Linked DNA regions of Styela clava. Each later gene encodes a partner of the first gene's protein in a complex. Links are inferred from orthologs where the notes say so. Each region holds a gene or a part of one and is shown in the gene's direction. Other genes may lie near its edges.

Region 1 (7,587 bases):
CTACCGTACTAGAGAACTGGTTATTGGTATACATAAAATTCAAGCTAAGCGCCCTCAAGCTTAGATAAACAACGAAGACGCTCTGTTTACATGGTGGTGTGTCTGTGTGGTGTCCAAATGCTGTAATGTCAGAATGTGATGTCACAATGTTGGCCTAACCTTTTCCATGTATTTGTTTTTTGTATTTGTTTTGCTTATTTATTCTAACGACTCTTTTATTTTTACTTTTATTATATAGCAAATCTTACACAAAACGCCGGATATTAACGCGACCAAATCAAAACTACAAAACTATTGTAACGTATTGATGACACAAGGTCCACTACTTGGACTCCCGACCGTTGTGGTTCGACTTTTGCGTGGCGATGCGTAGAAAATAAACAATTGTCTGAAGCGCGAGCTCGCGAGAATAACAAGTTACGTAAGATACGATGAACTACTCTAGCGAAACGACACCACGCTCGATCGCCCAAGGCGTTTGTATTCATCAGCCACGATCATACGCGGGGATAGGGTAAGGCGTAAACATAAAAAAGGGATGTTTTTTTTGGACACGTAGTGGACATAACGATCGTTTCAATATTATGTTGTTGTTGTTCTTGTTCTTGTTATCCTTGTTGTTGTTGTTCTTTGACACGTTTTTAAAAAGTCGCTTTTCTCTTCGAATACTGGACCAATTGCTTTGAAATTTTCAGTGGTTGAAGATAAAATTTTTCTCCAGAAGGCTATTACTTTTTTTTTCGCTATGACGTCATCAAAATTATTGCCATTGGGTGGCGCTACGTGTCCATATATTTGAGCATAGCTCTCTTGTTTAATAACAAATTCAAAATAAAGTCCACATATTGCAGTTAAAATCGACAATCTAACAACCGGAATACTACGAGGTAAGGTCGGCCTACACATAAATGAAGTCACTATACTCACTCACAAAATACATTTCTCCATATACCACTCTAATCAGATAGTTGAGAACGTTCAACAAAGTCTTTAATCGTCAAATTCATACCTACAATTGTATTGTACAATCGAATACCCAATACCGTGATTTTGCATACTTTCGCCGAAGCATTGGTCGTTGTGGGATTTTGGATGCAAATTTAAAATTTCGGAATACGGATTTCCTGGTGGTTTTTCCTAACAATCCCGGGATTTTGGGAGGATAAAAAAAGATTTGAAAACGTGCACACATAAGCTGATAATTTGAAAGGTACAAATATTTCTTCCGTGTAATAATGACGCGTACTCTCCAGCGCACCAAGTCTGTTGTTAAATTATAGGTCCGACGATGGCCGAATAAATGTGGATCAATTATATTATCACTAATGTTGCTCTTCTAATGACTCGGCAATCCTCTGCGCCCGAATGCCGTGAGTATGAACAATTAAGGTATTGCATTCAAACTTCGGAAACAAAATTTATTTAGACAGCATAACCGTGGAAGAAATGTTTGGTAAAAGCAAAAACTGCCCTCTCACAATCTTCGTAATTTCTTCTAAATAATTTCAGGCTAGGGAAAATTTTTGACTGACTTTATTTACACCATCGTTGGTTCTGCGTGGCGCTTACTACTCTTTTTGCTTCGCTAACTACTACTGAGTTTACGGTTTTCGCTAGCTCCATTTCCCCAAACTGAAGAACCTTTCACTCTTCTTAATTTTCGTGTAGGTCCTCTTACCTCTTTCACAGACCCGGTCATCTGCGTCGACACAGAACTATTAGCTACTTTTCCATTGATGCCTTTTACACCCGTTCCACTTTCACACCTTTTTGTTCGGTCGTGGTCTTTTCTTTATGTCGGTACCCTTTCTTACTTCTATTGCATGCTGCTAGTCTTGCATGGCAATCTTGACACCTTCCCCTCTTGACTTCTCCAGCTGTGTCTCTACAGAGATACTTCTTTAATGGTGGCGTTTTTTGCTTGGCTCACTTCCATTACTTTTTACAGAGCAATCTGCACACCTTCATATACGGGACTTCTCTATCCATCGCAGTTCTTTTCTTTTTCTTGACAACCTGTCTCGACAGAATTTTCCTATGTACACACGGTGCTTTGCTCCTAATAAATTATATTCACACCATACCTAGCCTGAGGTATTGCCATAGCTTGAATGTGGGCTTGCCTCTGATGTCGTTCGATATTTGTGCAGATAACATGATAGTCCTTTTACAATCGTCGTTCCTTTCACTTATTCGTTACTGCGCAAAAATAAATTTCGCTAAAGGTACGGAATGGACGCTCAAAGGACGAAAAATACAATTGTAAAAGTACATCACAATTCACAAAGCAAAGTCGGACATCAATTATCAGCATTTATAGTAGCATATTGTCCATTGAGTCTTCTTACAATTTAATAATTCATTAAATAGATAATATAAAAAGTCAGATGATAAGATGTATATACCTTCCTTTCCCCCTATTAACAAAACACCTAGCATGGTAACTCGCTTTTCCAACTTGCATTGAATATTATTGTATACTATACACATTCATCATCGGTTTATATTGAAGTGAAGCATATCAAATGGAGTCGCTTAGAAACGGTGACAAAGTCGGCGGCGGTAGCTAATAAAAATGACACTTGCATTGTTACACTTTGATGTTGTCATCAGACGCTGATCACAGTAGAACGTCACAGCACATATTACCTTCAGTTCTAACCCATGCACGGTTTTGGGTATTGTCTACACCAGCGTTTCCCAAACTTTTTCGGCCACGAAACACTTAGAATTTTTATCTCGCCTCACGGAACACCAAAAAATGGAAAGCTAAAATTGATAAAGAAAAACGGTGTAATGTAGCGGTTCCCAATAGGTTTGCCGTGACGAGTTGCCAAATGCGCCGCGAAAACTAACAGGATTGTGTTAAACCGTAAATATATACTACTACGGTTAAACATACCTGAAATATGATTGAATATTTTACATATTGCATTTAATATAAATTTTTTATTGTTTCCTAATTTAAATGCTGTGTATATGAATCAATAAATTCACCAATTCACAATTTTTACCTGACTATGTCGTTTACTTTCCATCACGTAGTGTTTGCCTCCAATGTTACCTCTAATGGAGATAAAAGTACTTGCTGCAATTTCGCGAGCTGCAGTTTATTTATCTGCTGAATTGAATTTAGCGAACATGATGTAATTTTTCAGCATTTCATGGTAAAACCAGGCAGAGACGGAGGAAGAAGAGTTGACCTTTTGCATTTATTCTTTAGACCTACTTGTTTGCTTATAACAAAACCAAAAGGATTGCTGTAAACTTGGGGTTACCATATTTTTGTGACCTCAAAGCGGGACGCCTCCAAAGGCCGTAGCTGTGTTTTTTTCAACTTCAAATTTACCGATTTTACATTAGGCACACATTTAAAACCATCCCGGCTGTCTTCATTGACTATATATATTGTCATCGAGAGTGCACGCGGTGTCTGTCTAAAAATCGGTTTCAATTCAATAAATAGAAAGGACTTTATGTTAAGCGCCCTTTTGGCGTCTGGGGCTCACACGTAACAAATTGTAGCAATTAACCGCTAATAATGTTAGCGAAAAACAACGAAACAAACAAAACCACGCATCCACCTTCAGTAAGTATGCTACCACCGGTACGCCACACAGCAACAACAGTTGCTGATCAATCAGTTTTTCATTCTTCAATAAATGTATTCCTTGGAATTTTATTGCAGGTCGTTTATGGAAACTTATGCGTCCAGCATTCAGTCCTTGGCAAAAGATATTTCTTTCCATCATCGTTTTTCTTGTTCATTTCCGTATGAATGACAACTCAGAAAAAAGCAAACAATGTATAAGCTAAATAAATGAAATGCGACACTATTTTCACGTAGATATATTTGCACCCATCGTTATAAACATTGGCTCACTTTCAAGGTTTCGCGTGATAATTGTCAGTACTGTATTTAGTTGCGTTGCCAAAATTTAGTTACAAGTCATTTTGTCATCCGACTAGTTTGGTTTCGGTATTCAATCTCTAAAAATTTCCGATACACTTTCACTTTTATGAATTAACTATCGTTTGGATACCGGTGCTTTTAAATTGAATTTGGATACTTCAAATATGATGGTTATAAACCAAAAATGAACCATCTTATCAAACTTCAATTCCGAAAAGCACTCTCAAAATACGCCACAAAAATCTGTGTAATTTTTTGGCTGTACTAACGCGCACACGGTTACCGACGGTAACGGCTCTAGCTCACGGTAACTTACCGTGAGCTAGAGCTACAGAGTCAAAAACTACGCTGGATCCAAGTCTGTAAATAAAGCTACTGCAAAAAGTGCACTTCATGATTATAATTAATGCTAATGAATAAATATTGTATTAATGATTAATGTTCAAAATACATACTGGATATACCAATGGAAAAATGGACTATTATGGAACAACTACTCTGCTGAAGTGCTGATGATGTATTTGTTTTGTCACTTGTATACACTTATTTATTGATATCCCTATATTATTTTATTTATTCTTTAATTATTGATTGATCCACATTGTGGAAACATTAAAAAAAAAAAAAGTGCACTTTCCAAATTTCATTGTTATCAGAATTTCGTGTGGTGCCGTATACATCATTCGTATTAACAGTTACCGTACCGTATTAATTTGTCAATTCCTGAATTCGTCAATTGGTTAGGAAGAAAGTCTTGTTGTAGCTTGTTTTAAACCAGTTGGATTAGCTAAGTGCCGAGACTGCAAGATGGGGAAGAGGCAACATCAATCAGATAAGATGTAAGTTTGAAAATACACTGCTGGTACTGCTGTAGGTGTTAAGCTAGTTATTTTAATTAATTGAATTTTTGTTCAGTCTTTAATTGAAAAGAGTTGCAATGCAATATTTTAAAGGATTAGGTAATACTGATGCTAAAATCCCAGAATCATGGAATGTTCGATGACAATGAAAATTTTAGAATTATATTTGATGATAACAATTAATGTGATATTGTTTTTTTTTATTTATTTCATTGTATATTAAAATGCATGTTTTTCTTAGTGTCTAATCGCAGAATTAAGTTTATGGTAATGACAAATTAGAAAAATCTTCCCCGTAAGAGAATGTAGTATTTTCTGTAATTTTATTTTTTCAGGTATATAACAGGCAAGGAATGGTCTGCATTTTATGGTGGTCATCGGAAGAAAATAGAAAATGCAGATTTTCGCAGACTCCCATTCTTTTGCTGCAGTTTGTCTATGCAACCATTTGATACCCCAATGTGTACCAAAGATGGTCATATTTTCGATCTTTTGTAAGTTACAGTTTAAAATTAAATTTTATAAGTTTGATCTCATTCATACATCAACATGATACTTAATTATTTCAAATCCAGGAGCATCATCCCTTGGCTAAAGAAATATGGGACAAATCCAATCACGGGGAAGAAAATGGACGCAAAATCTCTTGTGAAACTTAATTTTCATAAAAATGCGGATGGAAAATATCACTGCCCAGTTTTGTTTAAGGTTCGTTTCCATAGCTTTTGTTTTATATTACATTGCTTCAATAAAAATTCACAAAAGTCATTATTTACCCTTGAACTGCATGAATAATCTGTTTTAACATAGGCCTGTTACTTTCTTAAAGCTCACAAATGTTATATGTAGGCCTTCCTATATTATAACAATATATTCACCTCGAATTATATTGACATCTTTCAATAATACAGGTTTTTAACGAAAATACTCACATTGTGGCTGTTTCAAAGACTGGAAACGTTTATTCTTATGATGCAATTGAACAACTGAACATCAAACCTAAAAATTGGAGAGATTTGCTCACAGATGAAATATTTGCGAGAAGTGATTTGATAACAATACAGGTGTTTTATTATTTTGATTAAACGAATTATATTCAATATTATTATTAACAACTTATGTCCTGTGTTTTGTTAACATGGAACATAATTATTTCAGGATCCAACAAACTTGGACAAATTTAACCTACAATCATTTCATCATCTCAAACACAATTTGAGACTTCCAGAAGCAGGTGTGTTCTATTTGTTTTTGACTCTTTACTTACCTACCACCCTGCAATGATTTTTAAATAGCACAGCTGATTGAATCAAGATTGGCATCCGAACTGCAATTCTTTCCCATCGAAGAAATTCTTTGCTCTGATTATTTTACAGATTTTACAATCGACTGTGTTCTTGTAATCAGCTATCATAATTGGCTGTGAGCTCATTCATCTTTTGTCTATTCACAGACCATACAAAAAACTTTTATGTCACAATTTTTTTTCAAGAGTTTCAGTTATATGGAGTTCCCTACCTTATAGCTAACTTCCTAATCGCTCTCATTGAACCGCTTCGAGTCTTGCATTAATTGGTTCATACTAACGCATAATGCATCACCATAATTCGTATAGTTTAGTAGCTTTTAGTGGTTGCCTTTCCGTTACCTCTTTCGGAGATCAGTCATTTACGTAGGAGCAAGCATGCGATGTATTGATTTGGGAAACTTCAAAAGTTTTGAAGCTTTTCACATTTGTCCATCTGATTGTTTTATTGATTTGATTGTATATAACTCTTATAATTTCAGACGCTAATTTTCGATCAAAGCCTGGATATTTTCTAAACAGCACAAATGCAGAACTAGAGCAAACTATGGATGAATTGAATAAATCCTATAAGGGAGACGAAATATTAAAAGAAAAACCTGTTGCGAAAAAATCTAAAGTGGATAAATTTAATGCCGTGAGTTTATTTTTCCCTCTATGTTTATATATAATGAATTTAATTTAGGTTTTATATGATTGTATTGTGATTGATATGATATTCCATTGGTCGCAGCTGTAGGAACATAAAATCAAAATTTTTTTATGTGAAATTTTGTTTATTTTATCAATTAAAAATAACTTTATTTAATCACTGTGACTGTTGTATTGATGTCGTTTTGAATATTTGAAATAAGAATTATCAATCATAGTATATTTGCGAATTATTTCTATTTATTTTGCTCTTTTATTCTTCATTATTTAAAGGTGAAAAGTTCTGTAAGAGAGATAATATAATTTAAAGTGCTTCCTACAGGGACATATGCAAATAAACTAAATATGCAATTTATATATATATTTATTTTTTATTTTCACTGAAAAAATTCTCATTTGTTGTATATTTAGGCTCATTATTCAACTGGAACTGTTTCTGCTTCATTTACATCTACAGCTGCAGTTCCACAACTTGAAACTGAAACCGCAGTGTTGGTGAGTTATAAATTAAGGGGATATATAATTTTTCTATTTGTCTGTGAATTGAAAAGAAAAATAGAGGTAGATTTACATGTATTATGAAATATAGATTTTTGTTAGCGTCCTTCATTTCCCTTTATTAGAACATTTATCAATATCCAAAGTTTATATTTATAAAAAATTTGTTTTTAAAAATCAGCAAAATATATCTTTTTATCATATCTTTCCAATTATTTCCTGTTACAATATAAGGTAATGATCAGAATGTGCAAACTGTACTATTTACTACTCATAGGATGATGATGTGGTTCGTTACGGATTTGTAAAAACAAAAGGATATGTGAGATTACAAACAAACTTCGGTAACCTGAATGTTG
Region 2 (7,083 bases), on another chromosome or scaffold:
CCCTCTCTGTTGTACAATACCGACGTTCCGTCTTAGATAGAGTCCTACTGAAATAAGCATGTCCCCCCCCCCTTGCAGTTGTGATAAAACAGCACCAGTAATACTCGCGTCGGTGTCCAAAATAAACTCCCCTTGAACCAAACGAAAAGCCAGAATATGAGCTGACACTCATAATTCACGTTTTTTTAATCCAACGAACCAGAGGAGATGCTAGGGTGGCATAACCAGATACAAAACGCCTATAATAGTCGGCAGTTTCCAAGAAACTTCTAAGATCTGATATTACTCGAGGCGTTTCCCATTCGACTATTGTTGCTACATTGGGAAGATCACAGCAAACTCCTTCGGAAGAAATTTTGTATCCAAGGTAGGTAACTGATTGCCAACACAACTGGCGTTTAGTCGGCTTATGTTTCAAACCAGCACCTCGAATGAAAATCTCCCTCAAACTGCTCAATGAGGCGTCAAAATCCCATTCGTGGGCTAAAACATCATCCAAATAATTTGAACAACATTTCCCGACTGAAAACGGTTTTCTTTTTGCCAGGCAGATCAACTTCTACCTGGCAGTATCCACTAGCTAAGTCAAGTGTTGAGAACCAGCTTGATCCGCTAAATGACCCCACGATGTCATCTATTCGAGTTAAAGGGGAACCATCTATGTAGGACCTGTAGGTAATTGAATTAGGTGCCTAAAATCAATACAAAAACGCGTACTACCATCTTTCTTAGGTATCAGAACAATTGGTAACGAGTGCGGGCTATCACTCAGCTCAATCACTTCTTGTTCAAGCATCTTGTCAACAGTGTCCTCCGCTATTTGTCTCCTTGCCCAGCCAAGACGCCGGGCAGAGGCGTAGCCAGAATATTTTGCTCCCGGGGCAAACTATAAAATTGGCGCTCCGACCTCCACGTTCAATCATATTTTCTATTACATTTAATTGTATATGAAAAAACAATTCAAATTTTAATGGAATATTTCATTTAAAGAAGAGGTAAAGCTGTACAAAATATAGCACATGTCTATTATGTCCCACTCAGTTACTGTCAAAGTTGATTTACATAGTCTACAATAAATTTATTTTTCTTGATTTCACTGTCGCAAACTGGTTAATCACGTCATCAAAATCTGTTTTTTCCAATGTTTCTTTCTCAACACTTAGAAGTGTTAGATCACTGAGACGATCATGTCCCATTGATGCACGCCAATACGACAAAATAAGTTTCAATTTGCTGAAAGACCGTTCACAGCATGCAATTGAAACTGGTATTGTTAACAAAATCTGTGGAGAAAATCGCAGATTCGGGAAAACGTCGTCACCAAAAGACACAATAAAGCCAAGAAAAGCCAAAGGAGTTTCTGGTTGACCTTCAGTTACTGAGCAGCATTCTGCAATCTCCAATTTCGGTGAAATTTTGGCGCTCCTGTACCTTGGCGCCAGGGGGCATATGTGTCCCTGTTGTCCACACCGAAAACTGGATTTGGAAAATCTCGTGCCCAATGACCCGTTTGCTTATAGTAGGGACATGGCCTAGAGCCGTAGACGGTGGTGTAAGAGTTGGTGGTCTGCGACAATCACTGATTCTATGTTCCACTTGACCGCATCTGAAACAAGGGATAATGGAACTTGGGGATACACGGGATCTCGTTGGTAATATCAGCCCCAAATATCTCATCGTTAGAAATTGCTACGGTTGCTACGGTAGCTTAAATTTGGTTCCCTCTTTTGTGGCTTGCCATGGCCTTTCATAACTTTAATATCTGGTAGCCAACGACATTACATCTTTCAACATGGCGGATTGCAAAGGCCAATGTGGAAATGAAACTTGTATAACCTTCACAAAAATTGCGATTTGGCCAAGTCATTCTTAATCCTTATCCTAAGGCTTCAATTATGGATAAGCTCGACTAGCTAGCTGTTTCAATGCACCGCCAAATTCATTATTGGTTTCTCTTGCCAGCTTCGCGGACTGACCGAAAACGGCTCGAAGCATTTCAATACCCCCTTCACTTCGAAATACTTTTTAAAATGGCGTACGATAGCCTCAAAGCATTCACGTTCGTTCACAATCAATTCAATGACTCAGAGCATTGCCTACCATGCAAATGCCTAATTCACTCCCCCATCGTGTCCACATATATCCCAACCATTAGACTCGGCTATAGCCTTAAAATGGTACAAAAATGAGCCCAAATGTTTCGATCAATCAAATTTATCCGGTTGTCGTTCCGGCCTGAACATAACCCCTCATCACATGTTCCAGTGGAACCCTTTGCTATACCGGTATCATCCTATTGACTAACATAACAATATCTAAGCCTATCCAGATTTAAACACATTAGGTCACCTATTTAAGAACTAGGGACAATTTTACAGACTTAAAAAGACCCAAGAACACTAAAAATCTAACTGAAACAACCGCAGCTACATTACTGCAATCCACAGCCTTCTCTAACAGGATAACAAAAGAAAGAGTGACAGTGCCGTAGCGTCTCGGTGTCTCCAAAGTTAAAACACAAAATATAGCAGTAATATCAAATAACAGCATTCAAAAGACAAAAAAAAGCATGTCACGCTTTAATCAACCAATGAGCATATATGCTCATTGATTCAACGAAATCGAGTAGGTTTATTTCATTTTTTGTCTAAATAAGCCAGGCTGATCGGCGCGGCCGATGGCGCATCGCATTCACTTGTCATAGTGTCACGGTAAAAAAAATGTTGCTTCTGTGGTTGTAGAATGTAGATGAATCAGAAGACTCAAGAATTCAGGATTGGTTGTTTATTGCACGGCAACTCCAATATCAAACTTAAAACAGCATAACAGATTACATCACTAAAGAACTAAAAAACACGACCGCCCGCCAGCGCAGCAGCCGCAGAAAAAAGGGGAAAAGACATAGGTAGTTTTTTTCTTACGTGTCAGTGGTCGGAGTCCAGATCCGACAAAACAGCATTAAACAAGGGTAAACATACTAGTCTATAAACATAAAAAAAATATATACACACAATGGACCTTTCCCCGAGCATCGACTTCCGTGTTTACTTCGTGACATTGGCCAATCAGCAAGATGCAAAAAGTGACGTAACAATGCCCCCTTTTCCCATCCGCTCAGACACTTTTCTCACTCAGACAGATTTTCAAGCGTGGTTGTAAACCTCGTTTTTGAACCCTATTCGTTTGTTTTCAGTTGTGTTTCGGAAACTTAAATAAAAATCAGATAATTCAATGACCACTCTGTCTTCCTAGAAGTTTTAATTTAATTGCAGTAATAAAAATTAGTGTAGAAATAGCTGTGATAGACTAGCCTGAAATTTTTTACCGGTACTTTTAAAAAACAGATTGTTGTGTGCGATGAAGCATAATGATGGTTTGAAACACATACCCCATTTTACAGGCGCTAACTCGCAAAAGCACTCCGAAAATAGCACTGAAAATTTTGCAATGGTAAAGTATAGGAAGAATTTTACGGGGGTCAAAGGGCGGGGAAAGGTCCATATAAACACGGACACTTTAGTGTTTAGTCCGTGACAATAGCACCTTTTGGGTAAGCGAACACGCACTACTTCTTGTATCAATACCTTCCCACCTAAAATCTGTACGCTTCAAACCTTACTTGAGGTTTGGTTTACTTTTCCAATTCTATAATCAGTTTTAATTATTTTGTTTTTATCAATTTTTTTATCGTCTGTTGCTGATTATGGAGTCGAAATAAACTTATCGTTATACCTCCGATTACCCTATGTGGGTTCGTAGAGGCTGCTTCATCACCCGTCGAGTCCATGCATCTGAAACAAATAACTGACTATCTAACCCCACACCCGACAAGAACTAGTGATCGGACGAGACGCTGTGGTACGCGATATTGTTAATCCGTCTCATCACTTGCACTAAATTGTTCTTTTCCGTTCTTACTCCTCAGTATCCTGTCACAACTGCTTTATTCTGTCGCGTGATGGCGCTATGGATCGAATTCATATTTAACATTATGTGTTAGTGAAGTCGACCGATGGAAGTTCTCAGAATATTCTAAGCCGATCTTTGAGCTTTCAGACCAAGCTCAAATCACGAGCAAATTACTGAACTACCGGTACCGTATCAGGTTGAGATAAAAATAGCTTTCATTGAATATGATGATTTTTAAAGGATAATGAAAGCCGCAGCGGGACAGCAGGAAGAGTATTTGAGAGCCGCATGCGGGGTTGCACATCACAGATCGAGATAGCCTAATCTATTTTGAACTCGTCGTACAAGTTATTGTCATTTTACACTCAGACATCTGAACATTACCTTGAAAAGCTATGGCTGTATGGTAACACATTTTGATATGTCAAAATCTACAGATCTAAGGAAATGACAGTTGAAGTTGAGACAATTGAAGTATAAATTGATTTTTGATTGCTTATTATTTCTTTAATCTGTTAATCAGTAAACTTTAAAATGAATGAAGTGAATACCAAACAGCAAAATTGAATTTTATATTTTCTTAGAAAATTAACCATTCTTATTGCTATATTTTAGAGTTTGTCATAATGTCAGTTTCCTTTGGATTCAAGAAGAAAATAGAATCCAAGGTTGTGAATGTTGAAAAGCCTAAAAATGAAGAGCCGGATTATCTTGAAACCGTAGAAGGAAAAGTAATAAAATCAACTAAACTTCAGAAAGAACCACCAAGGGATTTGGTTATACCCCTAATTAAACAAAATGTTTATAAAATACCAACATCTGTGAATAAACAAAAGACATCAGCAGAAAATGTTATCAGTAGTATTGATGCGGAAGCAGCTAAAGAAATTCTTGCAGAATCTAAAACATTTTTAGAAGATACTGATCAAAACGGAGAAGATTTTGAAAATCTTGCAGTGCCACTTCTTATGAAAAATAAGGTGCCCGAGGGATATGAAACTGATAATAAACTAGATGTATCATTGCGACCTGATGAAGCATCAGAGGCCCAATATGATCAAATCCCTGTGGCTGCATTTGGCATGGCAGTACTGCGTGGGATGGGTTGGAAACCTGAAGTGGGAATTGGCCGAACTTTCAAACAAAACACAGAAATGTTGCACCAGCAAGTTAGGCCTAAAGGTTTAGGTCTTGGTGCTGATGTGGCTACCCCAATAAAAGCTGATACAACTAAGACTACAAATCGAGATGAAACTCATATAGAGGAAAATCAATTAGCACTTGAAAAAGGTGCTAACGTATTCATTCACAGGGGCGCATTGAGAAACAAATATGGTGTCATTTTGGGCCTAGACATTGAGACTGCAAGATGTATTGTCAAAATGGCAATAGGGGGTAAATCTGAACAAATTGGACAACACTGTCTTAGAGTTGTTACAAAAAAGGAATATGATAAAAATGCGAAGGATTTAAGTAGACTTAGCAAAGCATATACTGGGGATAACATGCTTATAATAGGTAATGGAAAAAATACAGAGGAAAATGATAAAAGACGAGAATCACCAGGTTCTGACAGAGCTATGTCACACCAAAAAGATACAGATATGAAGCATAAAGAAAAAAGGAAAAGAAGACACAAAGAATATTCACCACCAAAACATAAAAAATCAAAGAAACATAAGTCAAATAGAGAGATTTCTCCAAAACAAGACTCAAATTCTACTCTCTCGCATTGGGTACAACCTCAAATGAGAGTCAGAATTGTTGATAAATCGTACAAAAAAGGCAGATACTATCTTGAAAAAGTAATTATTGAAGATGTTTTAGGTGGTGGACTTTGTTGCTGCAAAACGACAGATGGTAGATTGTTGGATGATATTGAAGAATCAATGTTAGAAACAGTTATTCCAAAATCAGCTTCCGATTCTTATATAATTATAGTGAAATCAAAATTCAAATCGAAACATTCAGGGAAACTTGCTAAAATTCTAGAAAAAGATAAAGCAAATTGTGAAGCTCTGGTTCAGTTAATTGAAGATAGAGATGTTGTGGTTCGGGTTGCTTTTGAAGAAATGTGCGAGTATACTGGCGATGTTGAAGCCAGTATGATGTTTTAATTTTGCCCAAAATAAAAAGCATTAATTATATTTTGCCGTTAGGTTGATGGTAAGATGTTACAGCGTTTTCAATATATTTTGGATGCCTTTATTGGAATTCGAAAACCTTATCATTTAGATATGTGTTTTATAAATTTAGATACGATTTGTAATTTTGTTCATTTTCTATAACCTGATGCCTTTGGATAAAAAACAATCTTATATCAACAAGTTTATCATAATATGATTTTGATATAAACTACTACTCTGCTAACTGATTTGATTTCTAAATTTATGCTTCGATAATTATCAATTAATCTCCTAAAACATGGTAAAATAAATTGACTAAATACTGTTCACACACAGAAATTTTATATCAGTCATCCAAGTATTGCCAATGTTGAACGAACGGTTTTCGATTCCTAATTTGACAAAAAATAGACAATACGAGTATTCTGCAAGTGATAATATCTCTTTATTGTTGCTTCTAACAATTGCAGATGATGAATTGTATTAAAATGGAATTTCTATCGCACTTTTATATTTATGTTTTGTAATGATGTCTTTTCAGTAATAGGGTAGTAATAATTTTTAGCTTTTATAAGCATTCCATCATTAAATTGATTGGATATACCTTCATCAATAACACAAATGATAGTGAAGTACTAACCAACCCTGCACTGCAGTGACTCAATATTTGCCTGAACCACACTGTGAATAGCTCAATATCTAGGTACAAACAGACGAAAAAAATGTCGTATCCACATCCGACTAATAATTACTACCCCCCTCCACCTCCAAACATATCAATGGATCCACTTCCTCCAGGTATGTCCTTAATTTTCTATTAATGTTGACCATAAATTTCCTGGTCCTGAGCTTTGATAATGTTTTGAATCAGGATGGGAAATGAGGATTGACGAGGCAACAGGATGGCCCTTTTTCATTGATCATAGAAACCAAACAACTACATGGCAGGATCCAAGGCCTCCAAAACACCAAAGCTCTTATCCGCATCAGGTGGGTATTTCATGTAATTAGATTGATCATAAAATTTTTCTTGATACTCAGTCTCAGT

Evidence for each region.
Region 2: RING-type E3 ubiquitin-protein ligase PPIL2-like (region 1) and G-patch domain and KOW motifs-containing protein-like share a complex: the UniProt entries of both Homo sapiens proteins name them as parts of the minor spliceosome. The link is inferred for Styela clava from reciprocal best matches to the Homo sapiens genes PPIL2 and GPKOW.

Annotation. Positions count from the first base shown.
Region 1 is NC_135252.1:15,071,160-15,078,746, forward strand, and holds the start of RING-type E3 ubiquitin-protein ligase PPIL2-like, read left to right. Parts: upstream 1-4,562; 5' UTR 4,563-4,720; coding exon 4,721-4,752; intron 4,753-5,108; coding exon 5,109-5,267; intron 5,268-5,348; coding exon 5,349-5,481; intron 5,482-5,684; coding exon 5,685-5,837; intron 5,838-5,931; coding exon 5,932-6,007; intron 6,008-6,561; coding exon 6,562-6,716; intron 6,717-7,141; coding exon 7,142-7,225; intron 7,226-7,505; coding exon 7,506-7,587. UniProt on the Homo sapiens protein: Has a ubiquitin-protein ligase activity acting as an E3 ubiquitin protein ligase or as an ubiquitin-ubiquitin ligase promoting elongation of ubiquitin chains on substrates.
Region 2 is NC_135251.1:15,497,614-15,504,696, forward strand, and holds G-patch domain and KOW motifs-containing protein-like, read left to right. Parts: upstream 1-3,990; 5' UTR 3,991-4,535; coding exon 4,536-6,026; 3' UTR 6,027-6,575; downstream 6,576-7,083. Other genes in the region: uncharacterized protein LOC120335364, read left to right, coding at 6,758-6,833, 6,907-7,025. UniProt on the Homo sapiens protein: RNA-binding protein involved in pre-mRNA splicing. As a component of the minor spliceosome, involved in the splicing of U12-type introns in pre-mRNAs.